Linked DNA regions of Nothobranchius furzeri. The protein of the gene in region 2 interacts with the protein of the main gene of each other region in a pairwise test. Links are inferred from orthologs where the notes say so. Each region holds a gene or a part of one and is shown on either strand. Other genes may lie near its edges. The genes, in order: zc3h10, nfyal and gtf2a1.

Region 1 (7,479 bases), on a different chromosome or scaffold from region 2:
AAAGAAAGCCAGGCTGCACATGCTAACGTGGGAGGAAGCGTTGCAGATCATAAAAATCAACAACTAAAGTAAAAATGTCCACTTGATTTTCTGCATCAGCTTCCAGGAAAAAGGTCATTTTCCTGTTTAAAGAACAGCAGGAAGTGAGGAAGTGCTGAGAATGTGAGAATTAAACGACTGATTAATTATTTCACTTTTCTTAGCACCTGGTGTGTTTTCTTATGTTCACGGCTACAGCAGGAAGTTTAAAAAATGATGACAAAACACAAATTATCCCCCCAAAAAAGCAGGAAAATCCACAAAGTCATGGTATTTAACCTCTTTATTAGACAAAAAGAGATTATTAAGAAAACACAAAGCACTCACGATGACTCCCTGAATCCCGGGCACATCCTCCTGAGTGTACAGGTGCTGCTGGAGCCACTCAAAGTCATCATAGGTGCGGTCCACGTGGTACTCCCCTGTCCCAGAGAGCTGGATTAGACCACAGATTAGGATTTAATTTCAGGATTATTATCATTTAAATACATGAATTACAGCTAGCTAAGAAACCTTTGGAGTTTTCAAATCAAGTATTTTTACACCTTTTGAGACACGATTATGAAGGTAAGAGTGTCCCCGTCTTGCAGGACCTCCGTAACTTTGATGGTGTCCCCATGGACGCTCCCTGCAGACACGTCCTTTACCTCTTCCTGCCAGGAGAAGAAAAGTGAATTTAGATTAAAGGCAAGAAATTAATCTCCTTCTTCTGCCGTCAGAGTCTGGGTTCGTCACATGACCCTCTCAGGATTTTAGAAACTACTTACCATCATCGTTTGAGTCGGGCTCTGTAAAACCCCTCTGTCTTCTTTTATCTCAGTAGAACTGCCAAGCTTGGGAGAAGTTTTCCAACTGCTCGGGCTACAGCTGCTGAAGAGGAACAGGATGTCCTCTGGGTCAAAGTGCACAACGGCCCCGAGAGACGTGAGATGAGTAGAACTGTAAAGTGCTGGTGCAGGGAAACACTGTGGATGAGTAAATGTTCTGTTACCGTGTGACTGTGAACACTCCCACAACAGAGCCGTAACGCTCCGGGCTGGTCAGCTGAATATACAAGACATCCCATAAAGGGAAAAGCTCCTCAAGGTCATATCTCAGTTAAACTCGACACATTGACCCGAGGCACAACGGGAATGAAAAGCTTTACTCTCCCATAAAAATGGAAATTTACACGCTGTTGTCCATCTGGCCACAGATTCTCGTCCACATCACAGCAGATACTTTCTCTTGTGATGCAACGAGGGAAGAAACGGCGTGCATGCCGCAACCATCCCCTGCATTGATCTCCTGTAATGTCGTCACACGCTGCGTCCATAGCATGGAGTAGGGGCGGCTGATCCTGAGCATGATGCTCACACACTCTCCACCTCAGAGATGAAAAAAAAAACTCCTCTATCGGATTGAGGAAAGGAGAGTAAGGTGGTTGGAACTCCATGGCCATCCTTGGATGTGTTGCAAACCAGCCCCCAATGAGTGGGCTAAGGTGGGAATTGGCATTGTCCCACACAATAACATAAATGGGTAGGTGAGGCCCTATGAGACCTCTCTCATTTTCTGGGATAAAATTAGAATAAAGGCGATCCGAGAAGATGAGGAGCTTGTGTGTGTTGTATGGACCAAGACTGGAGATGTGAGTGGCCACACCATCGCCAAAAAATGGCAGCACACGATCATGGAAATCACCTGTGTGACGCTTCCTGTTCGTTAGTCTAGTATCACCTGACTGTCAATGACTGTCATCAATGTATCAAATATTCAAAGAAATCCATATATGGTATTCATGGTATTATGTTCTTGACCAATTCTGACAATTGAACAGACAGTTGTGCATGCTGACATGTTTTGGAGAGAATGATCATTGGACTGAGAATCAACTAATCAGTTTAGATCTATTCATTTGGAAAATGTGCTAAATGTGGGCTAACTGCATAACAGTAGGCTACATGTACTTAATCATTTGCAAAGAAGCACTGAGACAATTGAGACATGTACTAAGGCATTTGCAATTTGATAAAATGAATGAGAAATTCTGTTGTGAACATTTGCCAAGAGGTTTGGAAGTTTGTCCATGTTATTTTTAGAATGTAATTTCTGTTTCAAGAAAAGAGCCAAACCAATAGAGAAAAACTGTAATTGTTTTCCTTTAGTCCACTTAACCAAAGTAAGTTGTGTTTGCATGCTAATAAATTAATATAACGGTTGAATTAAGTTTGTTTAACTAAGCTCTAACTATGTCAAAGGAGGGTGAACCTCAGCAGCAGGACCACACAGGCTGGTATCCACAGGAATTCTTTAAGCTTTAGGAACAAAGAACTACACAAAGGAAGTTTTCTAGAAGCGAACAGCTGTTCCCATGCTGTTTGACAGCTGGTTTCTACTCAAAGGCTTTTTAAACTCACTAACAGACAGAAATCACGTCAAAATTCTCCATGTTTATAAGACCTGGTCTGAGTAGCTGCTAAATTCTATAAACACCTTTTTTTAATGGAGTTTGAATTGATTTCCCAGATTTACGGTGTACTCGTTGTCTTTACCACTAGAGGGCAGAAGACATCAAACCGAGAAAAAAGTAGACGAGGAAGAAAGCAAGTCTTCTTCGTTGGTGGTTAAGGACGCAGCTAGAAAGGTGGTAAACAGCACCGAGCCTTAACGCACTCCCCCCAACATAACTCGTATTCAGTTGTTAGCTGAGTTAATGTTGACGTTTATTGGTTCCCCTAGAAGGCCTTTCGTACCTGAAACCGGATCTGGTGAGAAGTTTTAAAAGCTGTATGTTTGCTTTTTCCAGGTTGCTTGTTAGCATTTAGCCGTGCAGCATTAGCGAGGTCGTCACACCATTTCAAACTGACCTCATGACCTAATGAAGTCGTCTGCGTTGTGAATTGGGCGGTTTCCTTCAGGTTTAATTAGTTCTTCTTAAGCAGGAGTAGGCAACTCTGGTCCACGAGAGCTCCCATCCGGGAAGTTTTAGTGGTTTCCCTGCTTCGGATCACCTGATCCAGTGGTTGCTCAAACCCTGCTGAAGCCTGCTAACCACCCGCTGATTAAGAACAGGTGTGTTGACGCAGAGACACGTCTGTTGAGATGTTTCTCATAAGTGTGTGTGTGTGTGTGTGTGTGTGTGTGTGTGTGTGTGTGTGTGTGTGTGTGTGTGTGTGTGTGTGTGTGTGTTTAGAGGTTTCTCTGTCACAATACGCCCGATTTTAATCAGTGGAAGAATAATTGGGTTTTGCAAAGCTTGATGACCTGCTGAACTGGTGATTCAACCGTTGAAACATGTTTTGGGAGCAGAGAAACAACTAAAACATGCTGGGAAGTGCCTTGGGGGACCTGAGTTGTTTCTCTCCGTCCTAAAGCAACAGTGGTGCTACTTATTATGTACAAATTCAAGTCACCTAGATCTTTCTTAGTTGTGTATGCAGTTAGCTAAACTTATTTTGGGGTTTACTTTTACAACATTTGTTATATTTGACTTCTAAACATGTTGAAAGGAACTCAACTCTGTTTAAAATTCACCCTTGATCCAAACTGCTGCAGCCACAGATTAGGATGCGGAGCCGTTAGGTTTCAGATTTCTGCTGGAACAAGCCCACAGGCAATGTTTGAATTTCGGTTATTTTTTTAACTTTTATTTCTGAATTAAATATTATATTTTGATTTAAAATATTTGTTTTACCAACTGAGTTATTTAACTTACTTAGATGTTTTTATTTTTTTGTATTTCTCTTATGAACCTCAAAGGTCTATGGACACAAGTTTAATTGAGTTTCTGTGGGATTTTTGTCTTGCAGTTCTGCGTCATTTACTTTTCATTCCTCTGGGATAACTTAAAAACGTTGGTGACACCCTGACCTGTGTATGTGCATGTTTACCAGGATTGATCGGGCACCCTTCACATACACATGAGTCCTGATTTCTCTCTGAGCCGGGTCAAGCGCCATGCCTGACCGGGACAGTTCCTACCTGTCTGGTGGTGGTGGGAGTGGTGGTAGCCTGGGTGAGGAAGGAGGACCAGGATCAGGTTTGGCAGGGGGCTCAGCGGACGGCCGAGGTGGTTCTGGAAGTGGTGGAAACGTCTCTGGCTCAGGGGGCATGGGTGGAGGGGGTGCGCCCGGAAACACTAATGGATTTGGGAATGGCGGCGGAGGGGGGCAAGGTGCAGGACTAGCGTTGGATGGAGTCTGCAGGGACTTCATACGTAATGTGTGCAAGAGAGGCAAGCGCTGCCGCTTCCGACACCCAGACTTTAACGAGGTTCCGGACTTGGGAGTTCAAAAGAACGAGTTCATCTTCTGCCATGACTATCAGAACAAGGACTGCATGCGCTCCAACTGCCGCTTTGTCCACGGAACTAAAGAAGATGAGGACTATTACAAGAAGACTGGAGCGTTGCCCCCCAGACTAAGAGGAAAAGTCGCTGCACGAATGGGCCTCTCTCCGATGGATCTCCCCCTAAGCAGGGAGGAGGTTCCCATCTGCAGGGACTTCCTGAAGGGAGAGTGCCTGAGAGGCAATAAATGTAAATTTCGTCACGTCCAAAAGGACTATGAATATGAATCTCTGAGGGCTGGGGTGGGGGGTGTTGTGGGGCAGGGCGCGAGTGGGATCGTGAATGCTGTTGGAGGAATAGGAGGGGGAGGAACTTGCGGAGGGATTCAAGGACTTGTGGGAGGTGGAAGTAACATGGTGGGGACTGGCTGCACCAGCCTGGGTGGGTGCAGGGATCCAGGCTTTTCAGGGGTTGGGGGGATAGGTGGAGGTGGAATGAGTGGTTGTCTGTCCATCGGGTCTTCAGGACAGAGACGCTATGAGAGGAGCATGTGCTCTGTGTACGACCCCCTGCTGGAGAGTGGGCTGTTTGATGCTGGTTCTCTGGAGGCTACTATAGACCATACTGCTCTCCAGCTGAAGAGGCGACGGCTAGAGAGCCTACGTCTGACAGACGGGAGCGGAGGGGGACACTACGAGTTGGGAGTTCAAGCCACCCTTCAACCTCGTCCTCTGGAGTACAGATTCCTCGAGGAGGAGAACTCCCTGCTGAGGAAAAGAGTGGAAGAGCTGAAGAAGCAGGTTAAAAAACTAAATTATTAGAGATTAACAAAGGTTTTTAATATGCCGTAATTTCCGGACTATAGAGTGCACCTCAATATAAGCCGCACCAACAACAAAAAAAAAAGGTTTTCTACACACACGCCGCACAAGCCACGGCGCAGCAGCCACATGCAGGTCTACGGTGCACAGCGCATGTACGGCCATAACATAAGATAATTAGACAGAAAGACGCTACACGGAGGGTTTTCGTTGTTTAAATTCAACAAAATGGATTTTAAACACGGGTGAACGTGCCTGCAAGTTTAGAAAAGAAAACAGCACTGATAACATTCATATTTCTGGATGGTTATAAAATAAAAACAGAACTGACACGTTATTACCGGTCATTTGCATGTTTAGATGAAAAGAACAGCGCTGACACAGCATTAATAAGCCCTGGATGATTAGAAAATAAAAACTGCACACAAAGCATGCCTGGTTAGTAAATAAAACACTTGCCTACCAGAAAAAGTCATTCGCTCTCATCTTACTCTTGTGCACTAAAGCCATTAAAGTCCTCTTCTTCAGTGTCGGAGTTGAACAGCCTCAGAAGAGCTTCGTCACATACCTTTTCTGTGGCGATGTCGGTGTCGCTGGCCGTGTTGCTGTCATCATCCCCGGGTGAAGCTGGCTTGAATGAGTTCTTCCCGCTGCCGTCTCCAGCGCTGAACCGTGGATTCATTCATGCCAAGCTTACGTGCGGCAGCACTGTTTCCCTCCTTTACTGCCAGATTGATGGCCTTCAAATTAAATGCGGCATCATATGAACTCATAGTTACCATGATGAGGGGGTATGGATTTGAAAAAAAAAATCTTCTTCGTGCCGGCTGCTTGCATGTGCTAAATTAAAATGAGCACTTTCTTCGATTTCAACTTTTGACTTCCACCTGTTTCACTTTCTGCTAAAGCGCCCCCTGGCAGGAGAAGGAAAATCTTCAGTAAAGCCGCACCTCATTATAAGCCGCATGGTTCAAAGCATGGGGAAAAAAGTAGCGGCTTATAGTCCGGAAAATACGGTACAAAACATGCTTAGAGGTCAGCTTACCGATTTATTTAATCAGCTCTGCCACAGTCAGTGTTTGAAGTTAGAAACTGTGTTTGTTACAAAACAATCCTTTACACGTCTGGAATAATAGTTTACAGTTGGCTAAAATAAAAATAGAAAGTTTCTATATTATTTTCAGACATTTAGAAAATACACAGATCTGAAAGCTTTAACTGGGAGCTTCTTCTAAAACAGTATTTTCTACATAGAAGAGTACAGACTCTGTTGGCAATATTACAGCTTAATACAGATTCATCATAAAGTTGGAGGGAAAAAATGAAAAGTAACTGTATGACAAAAAGTTGGATGATATTCAAATTGTTATAAAATACATTTGTTTCATCTTTGAGTATGGTGGAGGACAACACATGAGACACGTGTCTCTTGTTATTTTAAATCCTTGTCTCTTGTGTTTCTCAGGTTTCCAATCTCCTCGCTACAAATGAGGTTCTCCTGGAGCAGAACGCTCAGTTCCGGAGCCAAGCCAAGGTGATGACGCTGACTTCCACTCCTGCGCCTGCTGAGCAGAATCTGGCTCCTCCTGTGGGTGCAGTAAGCTCCTACAACCACAGCATTGCTCAGACTCACACCACCCTCAGCAGCGCAGGACTGCAGCCTCGGCCTGTCACACAGCAAGACCTGGTCGCTCCCACCGGTGCCCCTTCTGCTCCGCCATCTAACGCAGCTCCGCCCACAGCCCCTCCACCACACCTCAACCCAGAGATCACCCCGCTCTCGGCAGCCCTTGCACAGACTATTGCACAAGGAATGGCTCCGCCTGTTTCTATGGCGCAGGTGGCTGTATCTGTGGCACCAGTGGCCGTGTCCATGACGCAGCCTCTGCCGGGCATCACCATGAGTCACGCCACCACTCCGATGGTGTCGTACCCCATCGCAAGTCAAAGCATGAGGATCACCACCCTGCCTCACTGAGGAAACCTGAACCTTTAATTTGAACTTCTAAAATGTTGACAGAGAGCCTCTTATGTGATTGAACAGAACGGCAGTGGCGGTAAATGTTGACATTTTAATTTTCTTTGTCTGGTTTTCCCTTGATGACAATATTGTGTCCTGTGGCGCTGTTACGTTTCATGAATGTTAGCGGGACCTTAAAATGCGGCCAAGGTATATTTTACCCCAAAGTGTCAAATAAGTTAATGTGTGAAGTTTCTGTGTTTTGTTTTCTTAACATTTTTATTATGATTCTCCAAGTGTTTTAACTATTGAACAGGACTGCTGTGTGTCCATGTGTGTACATGAATACTCTGGGAGGAGTTTGTTTATACTTATGTGGATTGATCTGT
Region 2 (5,991 bases):
CAAAGGGGTGTGCCTGGAGGTGTTGTGATAGTGCTTGCCTATTGCTATGCCCACCAGAAGATGCATGTTAAATGGGAAGGGAGTATTTCTAATCCCTTTAGTGTCCAATGGGATAAGGCAGGGTGGAAATTTATCTCCTGTTTTGTTCAATTTATATGTCGATGAGTTATCTGGGCGTCTGAGAGCTTGTAACGCAGGTTGTTTGATAGGTGATGTTTTGATTAATCGCCTTATGTATGCGGATGACCTCGTAGTTTTTAGCCCAAGTAATGCAGGACTGCTGCTACTCCTAGATGATAGTACTGGGTATGGAATGGAATATGATTTAAAATGTAACTCGAGCAATAGTGCTGTGCTCATCTACAGAACCACCCAGGATAAAATGCTTAATTTTCCTGTGTTTGAGTTGTCCGGCAACAGTCTTGCGGTCTGTGAAAAGATAAAATATCTTGGACACTTTATCACAGCCAATATGAGCGACGATGATGACATTTACAGGCAGTGCTGCAAGCTATACGTGCAAGCAAACACCGTTGCATGGAAATTTAGCAGTTGTTCCACACCTGTTAAAGTGGCATTATTTAATGCATACTGCACACCACTATATACTGCACATCTGTGGTCATTCTATAACAAGTCTAGCTTGCACCGGCTACAGGTGGCATACAGTGTTGCAATGAGAATCCTCCTCAAAATTCCCAGGGGAGGCAGTGCTAGTCAGATGTCTGTTTCTTTGAGAGTGTGCACATTTAAGGCACTTCTGAGAAATTTAATGTACAAGTTTATGAGACGGCTGGAAGAATCTTAACTCGTGACTGGAGGAGTGAAAAGATACGCAGCAAGCGTTTTATTTGTGGACGGAAATCAATCAATCAATCAATCAAATCAAAGCTTTATTTATAAAGCGCCTTCCGCAACCCTGTCAGGAAGCCCAAGGCGCTGAACATGGTACAGTACAAAGTTCAATAAAGTGAATAAATCAGAAAATAAAAGCAATTCAAATTACAGATTACAATTTACAAAAAAATGTGAAACATTCTAGTAGAAGACAAATGTGTAAAACAAGGGAAAAAGCGAACCAATGAGAACTGTGAGATAAAATCAACATAAAAGAGGGCCAAATTCAAACATGTTCAGGAAACGCCAAGCAGAGGAGGTGTGTTTTTAGGTGATTCTTAAAGACTGGCAGAGATGGGGACAGCCTAACTGAGGGTGGCAACTGGTTCCAGAGTGACGGTGCTTGGACTGAGAAAGCCCGGTCCCCACGGGTACGACACCTAGAACGAGGGACAACGAGCAGGCCTTGGTCAGAGGAGCGCAGAGCGTGTGATGGGGAATGTCTGTTCAGGAGTGTGGCCAGATAGGGGGGAGCACCACCCTGGAAGTAATTAAAAACAAAGACGAGGAGTCTGAAGTGTGAACGATAGCAAACAGGAAGCCATTGCAGGGAGGCCAGAACCGGACTGATGTGGTCCCGTTTCCTGGTCCCAGTCAGGAACTGAATGTGACTGGAAATGACAGGAAACGTGGGTTTAGAGGTGGCGAGCGCATGAAGAGGTGGAGGAGGAGGAGAGACAAATTTGTCCATGTTAAAAAGTCTCTTATATACAAAAAAAAACAATATAAACACACGATCTTGGACCGATACATGACAGGATACCACAAAACAGCGCTACGCCCTCTGTTGTCCTGGTGGGGAATTGCTTAGCAACACTCTCCAGGAGACGGAGAAGTATGAGGGCAAAACACCTCCATGCGTGCGTGTCTCTCCCTGTTGGAGCTGACGGAGAAGCATGATTCAGGCTTAAGTGACTGCTAGCGTAGCTCATGGCTAACATTTTCTGTAGAATATGGCTGCTCTTTTGCTGGAGGAACTAGAATTGCTCAGATTCATCAGGATTGCCTTGGTTCTTGTGGTTGGACTTTGTATAAACTTAAGAAATCATCACATTCTGGGACAATCAGACACTTTGCTGAACGAAAACTTGGTCCTGATCTTCTTGAGAACTTTTCCCATCATAATAATCTCAAAAGAAGTTCTGGTTAACAGCAGTGATCATGTTTTTATGGAGGCCTAGCTGGGAACAGCATAAGTTTGGTTAGATTCAGGTACATTCTTTTCTCTATTCTTCACAGTGGTTTTCTTGTTTTTAATGTTTCCCTCCAGAGCAGACATTTTCCTTTAAACAATAAAGGAACATGCAAGGGTATGAACAATTTTGGGCTTAACTGTATCTGTCTGAGACTGTGTTGTCCTGCCTTGCCTGCAGACACAAGGCACAGTGACGGCTGTGCAGCTGCAAGCTGAGGCTCCAGGCCAGCAGGTGCAGACACTCCAGGTAGTGGTGTCATCTCCACCCTGTCCCACAGACGTTAAGCTAGCTTCCCGTCTGCATGCTGCCTCCAGGGCTGTTTCCATGACCCATCAGTGCTGTCTGGTTCATCACCTCCCTTTGAGCGTTCCCCTGCAACCACCTGTACTGCATGTTCCTCAGCAGCGTGTGTTCCGGCTAATGCTCGTGCTGTCATTTCTGAGTTGGTTTTTTTTACTCTGGCATTTAAAAGCAAGTTCAGAAAGTCTGAACTTCTTCTTTGATGCAAACATTAACTGCTGGAAGTGTGCATGATGTGAGTCTGTACTGAAGGATGGAAACGCTGCAGCTGCAGGCACGTTGCATCCTTTAGCTAAATCTTACATAATGCTTTTTTTATTATTTTTTTTGCACCGTCATTTTTCTGTGTGATACATCTGCTTTCACAGTGCGGTTAGAGCGGTAGATCAAGTTGGATCATCTCACATATCGCAGCCTAAACTTTTAAAATAGGTGGAATGTACCGGATGATTAAATGGCATCCTTGGCGTTTGTTGTTTGACTTGCATGCTGCTTTGCCAGTCACGTGTACGTTATTTGGAGGTAAAGTCTTAGAGATGCTGTAACAGCTCGGTGTCCCTTCGCAGGTCCAGGGACAGCCTCTGATGGTACAAGTGAGTGGTGGGCAGCTCATCACTTCTTCAGGACAGCCCATCATGGTGCAGGCCATGTCGGGGGGTCAGGGTCAAACCATAATGCAGGTTCCTGTTTCTGGAGCTCAAGGGCTGCAGCAGGTAAAAAAGTAACATAATTCAGTCTCATTATGACTGGTAAAGAAAGCCACAATGAGGGTGGAACTGTTGGATCTTGTAGATTCAGCTGGTGCAGCCTGGTCAGATACAGCTGCAAGGTGGTCAGACTCTCCAGCTCCAGGGTCAGCAGGGTCAACCCCAGCAGATCATCATCCAGCAGCCTCAAACAGCCATCACCGCTGGACAGAACCAGGTATTTGTTATCCTTCTCAAATTACAATAATATAAAATATTATGTAGCTCATAAACTGCTTGTTTGAATGTTTTTAGCAGTTTAGAGATTTTTCCCAAATGCTGAATCATGTTTTAAAGCTCATAAGCGCTGACCACTACTACTATTAGAACTAGTACTACTAGTACATCTGGATGAAAGTTGGGAATTGAGTTGTGCTGCAGGAAGTTTGCATGTGTTGATTTAATTCTGTTGTGAGAATTTAGTGCTGAGCACAGCGATGTTCTTTGTGTTCCTTTTACAGACTTTTATATTTTTATGACTTGTGTGTTGATGCAGAGTCGTTGATATTGACGTTTACCTGTTTATCAGGGCCAGCAGATCAGCGTGCAGGGTCAGCAGGTCGCTCAGACAGCAGACGGACAGACCATCGTCTACCAGCCTGTTAATGCAGATGGTTCTGTCCTGCAGCAGGGTACTTTTTTTTTTCTTTAATTAGATTTAAAATTAAACAAAGATTCTAATGAGACGTGATTTTGACTTGAGTTGTGTTACGTGTGCACAGGAATGATCACAATCCCTGCTGCCAGTTTGGCAGGGGCCCAGATTGTACAGGCAGGGGGCGCCAACACCAACACTACCAACAGCGGCCAAGGCACTGTGACCGTCACCCTGCCCGTCTCTGGCAACATGGTGAATGCAGGTGGAATGGTCATGGTAAGACCCTGTGCTGAGGTACCCAACATCTTTTTACTCTGCTTTTCTTTCTGAATCTAGACTAGCACCAAGGTGTGGAGAGTGGGGAAGATCTCACAACAAGAGTAGCTCTTTTTTAAAATTACTTTGATCAACAGTCACCTTTTCACCACGTGTCCTTGTACTAATCACTAATCACAGAACATGAGAACCATTCACCCAGTTGTTTTCAGTTATTTTTGTCATATTTGTTCCTACGCATGCATTAATTCACCAGTCACCACACGTGTGTTGGAAGCGTAAATAGTATTTGAATTAATTATTCAAAATCTTAATTATATATGTATATATATATATATAATGTATATGTATATATGTATATATGTATATGTATATATATGTATATATGTATATATGTATATATATATATACATATATATATATATGTGTGTGTGTGTGTGTGTGTGTGTGTATATATGTGTGTGTGTGTGTATTGATGCTGTGTGTTTTCTGATAGAGGTCTGCCCAACTTTAAGGGCGGTGTGGGTCTGAAGCTTGGTTTATGCTTGACGCATTCACTTTCCGCGCGGTGATGCGGCTCGCGGATGGAACGCGCTTCACAACTCGCAGCTTTTATGGTTCGTGCGGCTCGTCTCTGCGGTGAGCCAATATTCTCCCAAACTGAACGGGGCAGCATGGAGCTCTACGGCAAACATCCAACACTACACCATAGTAGAAGTAGAAATTACTGTTTACAACACGGCATTTCAGCATTTTTAACAGCATTCTCGTCTTTTCCGACATTGCGAGCTATTTCTCTCCAAGAATTATTAACAACATGTTGATCACGGTGATCTCTGAGAGCTGAATCATACAAATGTCTGTATTTATGAACCTCTGCCATACTAGTTCTTGCTGGTCCGCCATGTTTTTCCGCGTCCGTCCGTCCACGTGGTTAGAAATTTTCCGAGGTGCGCGTTGCGGAAATTCTGGGCCGTCCGGAGGCGCGGTGGAGGGGCGTGGTTGTTAAAATGACGAAAAATGACGCAACTTTTCCGCGCGGAGCCGTGCGGACCTCGCGGACACGTCAAGCATAAACCAACCTTTAGAATCAGACATGATCCAGCTCCCCAGTAACGGACCTCTCAGACTCGGCCTTTAGAGCGACTCAATTCTTGTTAAAAACATCTGTCTGGGTCCAAAACAATGTAATTGTTACGTTTTAACAGCAGATCTGATGATACAGATTCAGATAGTTCACTTATAATTGTCTGCATTTCATTTGAATTGTCAGGGGTTCTAAGTTGTGTGGGCCGTGCCTGTTTGCTTTACTCCTATCAGATGGTGCCCGGAGGGGGCGGAGTTCCCACAATGCAGCGCATCCCACTGCCAGGGGCCGAAATGCTGGAGGAGGAGCCTCTGTACGTCAACGCCAAACAATACCATCGTATTCTGAAGCGACGGCAGGCCCGGGCCAAGCTGGAGGCTGAGGGCAAGATCCCTAAAGAGAGAAGGGTACGTTGTCTCCAGTATTAGGTACTTCAGGAAAGGTTTACCGTTTATTCATGGTCATTTATTTATTTCTTACAGAAATACCTACATGAGTCTCGCCATCGTCACGCTATGCAGCGTAAGCGAGGAGACGGAGGACGGTTCTTCTCCCCTAAAGACAAGGAAGAAATGGAGTTGGCTTTGGCACAAGTAAGAGTCTACACCTTAAGGCTTTAAATGACAGATTTGAGTTTTCACTGACATATGTGGGTAATTTGATCTCAATTTATGTGTTTTTCCTTCGTATGACGCAGCAGCAGGACGTAGGCCAGACGGCGCCGGATGAGACGGTGGCCCAGATGATCAGAGTCTCGTAGCACTGTCACCAACATCAGTACTTCTGTCTGAATTTTTCCTCGGACTCTTCATCCCAGCTAAGCATCGAACGCGTTTGTAATCCGTTCTGACTCACTACGCCCAACCGAGCACTCAGTGGCGCGCTTTTTGT
Region 3 (6,710 bases), on a different chromosome or scaffold from region 2:
CGCAGCCACAGTAATCCACCGAGATAATATAGTTTTTGAAAAACAAGACGGTTATTATTGTCAACTTTTTTACCGGGATTTACCGCTACAACGGTTACCGTGACAACCCTAATTGCAAGTCATATTGTCACCACAATATTAATCACTGTTATCGCGTATCGCAGACTTTCCTGGTATTGTGCAGTCCTGCTACACAGTCAAATGGAGGTAGGCATCTAAAACCAAAAATAAATTGTGCACAAAAATAAATAGAAGTAACTCTGTTGTTAGCAACTAACGAGGAAATTAGCTTACAGAGGCGACTCTTTGTTCGCCGCCGTGACGTGCTTCCTTTTAAGGTGCTCATGCAATGCCTTTGTAAAATGCTCCCAAACCTTTGAGCTACGTTGCCGACTCGCCATGATGTCTCTTGCTCTGGTGATTCTATTTCGAAGGCTGATCCGGATGGCCACCACCGCGCATGTGCCTCAAGCAGAAAACAGCCACTGATGATGCCACAGCAGGCGAGGTTTAACAAATGCTCCTAGAGTAAATGCAACACGCTTAAATTCAGTATGTGAGTGAAACAAAACACCCAAATTCCTTTTTGGCTCATTAGCACCACTAGTGTTTGGACTTGGAATTGCATCTGCCTATAATCTGATCTTTGTATAAAGGTGACAAGCAGGGTTACTTCAGGGGGCCTGTCAAATTTCAGCAGGGGCCATTCCCCCGTGGCCCCACCCCTTGAACCATCAAGCATTTATGCTGACCTGACAGGATTACAGGGTCTAATAAAGATGTTTAGTGGCTGGTAGTGAAGTTACACCAACAAAAAACACCACGATCGTGATTAGTTATCCCAAATTAATAATTGTGTTAATAAATAATGTTAATATCTGAACAAAAAATTTTTTTCTCTTATGTCATCCTAGCCTAAATTGTACCGGTCTGTGATTGAAGATGTCATGAGCGAGGTACGGGAGCTGTTCCTGGATGAAGGAGTGGACGAGCAGGTTCTCCACGAGCTGAAAACGGTACGTTTTCTGCAGGAGATGGTTTCCAGATGCAACAGGGGCAGCCATCATTAATCAAAAGGCAAACTAATGGCTTTAATGGATGGAAAACGCAGGTCTCTGCCTCTAACTTTCATAAGTGGGAGGTACTCTGAGACTGAGCAGAAGGAGCTGCAGTGATTAGATTTGATCTGTTCTCCAGAGGACATTTAGTCTACCAGACCAGGAGCTATAAACAGTTTTTTGACCCCAACATGGTCCTCTGCTCTTTCTTTACCACATAACATTAGTTGTTAGTTGGTGATTTTAGGTTATTTATCTTTTAAAATCTAGCCTGAGAAGTACATTTTGTCCACACAGCATCTCTAACATGCGGTTAAATAATCTCATAAGCAGTCCTGTAACCCAAATCTTCTCCATCTGCTGGCACAGCTATGGGAGAATAAACTGCTCCAGTCCAAGGCAGTGGAGGGCTTCCACTCTGATGAGCAGGCAGCCCTGCAGGCCTCCCAGCAGCAGCAGCAGCAGCACATCCAGCATGTTCAGCAGGTGACTCAGCCAGCACAAACCCAACAAGTCATCCTGCCCCCCCAGCAGCAGCAGCAAGGTGCGTTCAAAAGCTGATGTACAGCAGCAAAAACTATCCGTGACACACATTTGATTAGGAGGGTTTTAATTTTCTCTGCAGCGCCGCAGCAGCAAGTCATTGTTCGGGATCCTAAGCTTCTTCAGCACATGAGTGCAACAGGGATGGTGAGTGCATCGTGTGCTCATTTTTGAGGACAGTGCTAGTTGGGATTTGGTGTTCATCAGAGAAAAGTTTTTCTTATTCTAATTATTCAATAAAAACTGTATCCACAAATCCACAAAACACATGTAGACTGGTTGGGCAAGTTCCCACGCACCCTCCAGGATCCCCCTAAGGGTATAGAGCTGGTCCAGTGTTCCACGGCCGGGACGAAAACCACATTGCTCCTCCTGAATCTGAGGTTCAGCAATCCGACGGACCCTCCTCTCCAGAACCCCTGAATAGACCTTACCAGGAAGGCTCAGGAGTGTGATCCCCCTGTAGATGGAACACACCCTGCGGTCCCCCTTTTTAAATAAGGGGACCACCACCAGTCCAGTGGGACTGTCCCCGATGCCCACGCGATATTGCAGAGCCGCGTCAGCCAACACAGCCCCACAACATCCAGAGCCTTAAGGAACTCCGGGCGGATCTCATCCACCCCTGGAGCCTTGCCACCGAGGAGCTTTTTAACCACCTCAGTGACCTCAGCACCAGAGATTTGAGAGGCCAACCCAAAGTCCCCAGACTCTGCTTCCTCACTGGAAGACGTGTCGGTGGGATTGAGGAGGTCTTCGAAGTATTCTGCCCACCGATCCACAACATCCTGAGTAGAGGTCAGCAGCACACCGTCCCCACTATAGATAGTGTTGGTAGCGCACTGCTCCCCCCACCCCCACCCCGAGGCGCTGGATGGTGGACCAGAATCTTTATTTTAATTTTGATTATATTTCATTTCTAAGGTTTGGATGTCTGTGAACATTACAGAATATTCAGATTGGTGTAAAGAACATATTAATAATAACAGGTCATGATCTAAAGCTGGTCTGAGGTCTAAAACTCTGCCCTGGGCCTAAAGCCCTGCAGATGTATTTAGTTTCTATAAACAACAACAATTAAATAACCGCAGCTGGATTCTACTTTGTTCCTTAAATTGAGTCACGTAGTTTTGCAAGTTCTGCAGCTCACACGTTCAACAGGGAGCTCTGCCAGCTGATTGGTTCTTTTGGTACCTAGTGCAGTTCTGGTGCTGAGCAGCATGCATGCATCAGTGGATTCATAATGGATTAAGAAAGGACAGGAAAACATAGTTAACTCAAATATATCATTATAATGAACACGTATAGATACTTTATCATACATACCTACCAGCCTGTAACTCTACCTTTACCCCCCAAAATGCACCAGACTGATGTGTTTAAATACAAAATGTCCAATAATTTTTTTCTAGGGGGCATGCCCCCGATACCCCTAGAGTACTTTAATACTTATCATCTTTTTTACCTCAGAGAAATCTCAACACCCGCACTTTTAAACACTGTACGTGAACGCGTTATTCCAAAGTTTTCAGAAACAATAACGCTGATCTTAAAACCAATCAAAACCCGAATAGTGGCTACATGTAAACAATGTGATTATTATATAATAATAATTATTATATCAATAAACTAATCATTTAAATGTATTCTAGAAAAGCATGTGACCCTCACAGTGTCTGCTGGCACAGACAAATCTAGTTGAAGACCCTGGTCTAGACCTCTAGAAGCCTGTTTTGTAGAGCTGATGTGTGTATATTCTGTTTTCCTCCACTAGAGCGCAGCAGCCACTGCAGCAACTCTGGCTTTACCTACAGGTGTCACTCCATACCAGCAGATCATCACTCAGCAGGGTAACACCACCATGCCCTCGTGCTGCACTCAACTCAACTGGTGTTTCAGCCGTTTCACTGCTCTGATGTTTCTCCTTCACCTTTCGCTGACTCAGGTCAGATCCTGCAGGTGGTGCGCGCTCCCAATGGGGCTCAGTACATCATTCAGCAGTCCCAACAGCCCATCGTGCTGCAGCAGCCTATGCAGTCTGGTGGTGTGCAGGCACCGGTCATACAGCAGGTACCGCCATTTAACTAGTTGAACTGTATTATAGAACAAATCAGTTTATGGAAGTTGTTAGAATTTGGTTTTGATTAAAAGTAGCGGTGCAGCCGCTCCAGCAACTCACGGCTCGGATCATATCACGGCTTCGAGTCACGGATCGGGTCATTTCTGGGATCAGCAGACTGAAAAAAAAAAAGACAAATAACTTTGCTGTCTTTATTTTGCAGAACACTTAATGAGCATTCAGCAGAAAAAGCTGCACTAAGTACAAACATTCATCTCAAGACATTTATGTTTATGAATTTAGCAGATGCTTTTGTCCAAAGCGACTTACAGGTGATAAGGAAGCTAGCAGGTTGCCCTTGAGGCTAACAACAAACACTAATCAGTCAATCCTAGGTGGCAGTGAGGCAGCATAAGGTGCTGATACATTTACCCGGGCATGAAAACCCCTCACCTTTTGGCAAACTTTGCTGTTTAAAATCTCAAATGAGTCCTTGCCGATCTGATGAGAAAATATTTGGGGTGGGGTGGGGCCAGCTTTTACATATTAACCAGTTCCAACATTCGAGAGGATTTTTAAGACCTCCCCAACACCACCGACAGTACAATAAATAAATAAATTAGTCAGAACCGGCGCAACCCGCACAAACGCACCTCGTCTGGAGGTCCCCTGTGTAGACCCGCAGACGGCTCTTTAAGGGGCATGAATGTTGCCAACCTACACACATCTTTTCGTTTTTGTATTATCAAATTTATTGACGTGGGAAAAGTCTGGATAAGAGTCAGAAATTTTGATCACGATAAATTTTCCATTTATTGTCCAGCCCTGATATTTAGGGCCGTCACGGTAACCGCAAAAATGAAATATCGCAATATGAAGAAACCCACCGCGCTGCATCATGGGCCACCGCGATTACTGAACGTGATTCAACTCAATGATGCATGTAGAGAAGGATGGCTGCACTGGTATCAAAACGAAACGTTACTTCGCTGCTTTGGGAGCACTTTGGTTTTCAGTACGTCAGCTGCTGCGCAGCCAGAGTCCTTGGTCGAGACAGAGCTGCCACCAACGGCAAATAAATAAATAAACACTCGGAGACCTGCTGAAGTCCCGGACAAGCACTGCTTCTGCAACCGTCCCGAAGAGAGTTTGAGCCGAGCTGGAGCTCACTCGCTACCTGCAGGAGGAATGCATCCACCCTAAAGAAACCCCCCTGACATTAATTAATTTGTGTTTAGGTTCTGGCTCCTCTTCAGGGAGGTCTGCCTCAGCAAACGGGAGTCATCATCCAGCCACAGCAGATCGTCTTGGCTCAAGGAAACAAGGTCCAAGACAATGCACAGGTCAGAACATGGCCCCTTGTAAATCTCCTGTTCTGTTTCTAGCCTCATCAACCAACTCTGTCCCTTCTGGGGGTTATTTCCCTTCAGGTGATGCAGGCGGCAGCCATGGTGCCTCAGCCCGGTCAGGCAGCAGGAGCAGCACCAGGAGGAGCAGCAGGAGGAGCAGCGACTCAGGTCCAGCAGGCCCATGCTGCAGCTGCACCACAGGCCCCACTGCAGCCTCAGGCCCAGCAGCAGGCTCAGCTGCAGGCACAGCAGCCTCCCATGATGCTCCAGGTGGACGGGGCCGGGGACACGTCCTCGGAGGAGGACGAAGACGAGGAGGAGGAGTACGATGACGATGATGACGAGGAGAAGGATAAGGATGGTGGAGAAGACGGGCAGGTGGAGGAGGTAACGGATGTGTCATCGTCTTCCTCCGCTTGTACGGGTCGTGGGGGCAGCATCCCAACTAGGGAGCTCCAGACCGTCCTCTCCCCGGCCACCTCCACCAGCTCCTCCAGCAGACCCCAAGGCGTTCCCGGACCAGATTGGAGATGTAACCTCTCCAACATGTCCTGGTTCTACTCCGAGTCCCTCCCGAATGTCCGAGCTCCTCACCCTATCTCTAAGGCTGAGCCCGGCCACCCTACGGAGGAAACTCATTTCGGCCGCTTGTATCCGCATTCTCGTTCTTTCGGTCATTACCCAAAGCTCAGGACCATAGGTGAGGATTGAGACGTAGATAGACCGGTAAATCGAGAGCCTGGCTTTCTGGCTCAGCTCCCTCTTCCCCACGACAGATCGGCTCAGCGTCCGCATCACTGCAGACACCGAACCCATCCGCTTGTCGATCCCCCGATCCCTCCTTCCCTCACTCGTGAACAAGACCCCGAGATACTTAAACTCCTCCACTTGAGGTAGAACCTCTCTCCCGACCCGGAGTTGGCAAGCCACCCTTTCCCGGTCGAGAACCATGGTCTCAGATTTGGAGGTGCTGATCCTCATCCCAGCCGCTTCACACTCTGCCACGAACCTACCCAGCAAGAGCTGAAGGTCAGAGCTGGATGAAGCTAGGAGGACCACATAATCCGCAAAAAGCGGAGACGAGATTCTCCTGCCACCAAACTCGACACACTCCACACCATGGCTGCGCCTAGAAATTCTGTCCATAAAGGTAATGAACAGAACCGGTGACAAAGGGCAGCCCTGGCGGAGTCCAACCCTCACTGGGAACAGGTCCGACTTACTACCGGCTATGCGGACTAAACTCAAACTCCTCTGGTAAAGGGACTGAATGGCCCTTAACAGAAAGCCACCCACCGGTCATAAGCCTTCTCCAAATCCACAAAACACATGGATTGGTTGGGCAAACTCCCATGCCCCCTCCATCATTCTTGCAAGGGTATAGAGCTGGTCCACAGTTCCACGGCCAGGACGGAAACCACATTGCTCCTCCTCAATCTGAGATTCAACTTTCGATCAGACCCTCCTCTCCAGTATCTTGGAGTAGACCTTTCCAGGGAGGCTAAGGAGTGTGATCCCCCTATAGTTGGAACACACCCTCAGGTCACCCTTCTTAAAGGTGGGGACCACCACCCCGGTCTGCCACTCCACAGGAACTGCCCCTGATGACCACGCAATGTTGCAGAGACGTGTCAACCATGACAGCCCTACAACATCCATAGCCTTGAGATACCCAGGACGAACCTCACCCGCCCCCGGGGC

The links.
Region 1: the proteins of nfyal (region 2) and zc3h10 interact in binary tests that used the Homo sapiens proteins (3 or more experiments, as listed by UniProt). The two-hybrid records come from large-scale screens. The link is inferred for Nothobranchius furzeri from reciprocal best matches to the Homo sapiens genes NFYA and ZC3H10.
Region 3: the proteins of nfyal (region 2) and gtf2a1 interact in binary tests that used the Homo sapiens proteins (3 or more experiments, as listed by UniProt). The two-hybrid records come from large-scale screens. The link is inferred for Nothobranchius furzeri from reciprocal best matches to the Homo sapiens genes NFYA and GTF2A1.

The regions. Positions count from the first base shown.
Region 1 is NC_091743.1:49,724,043-49,731,521, reverse strand, and holds zc3h10 (zinc finger CCCH domain-containing protein 10), read left to right. Parts: upstream 1-2,642; 5' UTR 2,643-2,789; exon of another isoform or gene 2,790-2,935; intron 2,936-3,830; 5' UTR 3,831-3,978; coding exon 3,979-5,109; intron 5,110-6,595; coding exon 6,596-7,108; 3' UTR 7,109-7,316; downstream 7,317-7,479. Other genes in the region: si:dkey-28n18.9 (sorting nexin-5), read right to left, coding at 367-474, 585-692, 807-812. UniProt on the Homo sapiens protein: Specific regulator of miRNA biogenesis. Binds, via the C3H1-type zinc finger domains, to the binding motif 5'-GCAGCGC-3' on microRNA pri-MIR143 and negatively regulates the processing to mature microRNA.
Region 2 is NC_091755.1:28,372,970-28,378,960, reverse strand, and holds part of nfyal (nuclear transcription factor Y, alpha, like), read left to right. Parts: intron 1-2,270; coding exon 2,271-2,342; intron 2,343-2,959; coding exon 2,960-3,106; intron 3,107-3,185; coding exon 3,186-3,317; intron 3,318-3,668; coding exon 3,669-3,771; intron 3,772-3,861; coding exon 3,862-4,031; intron 4,032-5,333; coding exon 5,334-5,507; intron 5,508-5,582; coding exon 5,583-5,693; intron 5,694-5,797; coding exon 5,798-5,860; 3' UTR 5,861-5,991. UniProt on the Homo sapiens protein: Component of the sequence-specific heterotrimeric transcription factor (NF-Y) which specifically recognizes a 5'-CCAAT-3' box motif found in the promoters of its target genes.
Region 3 is NC_091742.1:19,643,368-19,650,077, forward strand, and holds part of gtf2a1 (transcription initiation factor IIA subunit 1), read left to right. Parts: intron 1-914; coding exon 915-1,016; intron 1,017-1,427; coding exon 1,428-1,602; intron 1,603-1,683; coding exon 1,684-1,748; intron 1,749-3,375; coding exon 3,376-3,451; intron 3,452-3,546; coding exon 3,547-3,671; intron 3,672-4,898; coding exon 4,899-5,003; intron 5,004-5,090; coding exon 5,091-5,396; intron 5,397-6,710. UniProt on the Homo sapiens protein: TFIIA is a component of the transcription machinery of RNA polymerase II and plays an important role in transcriptional activation. TFIIA in a complex with TBP mediates transcriptional activity.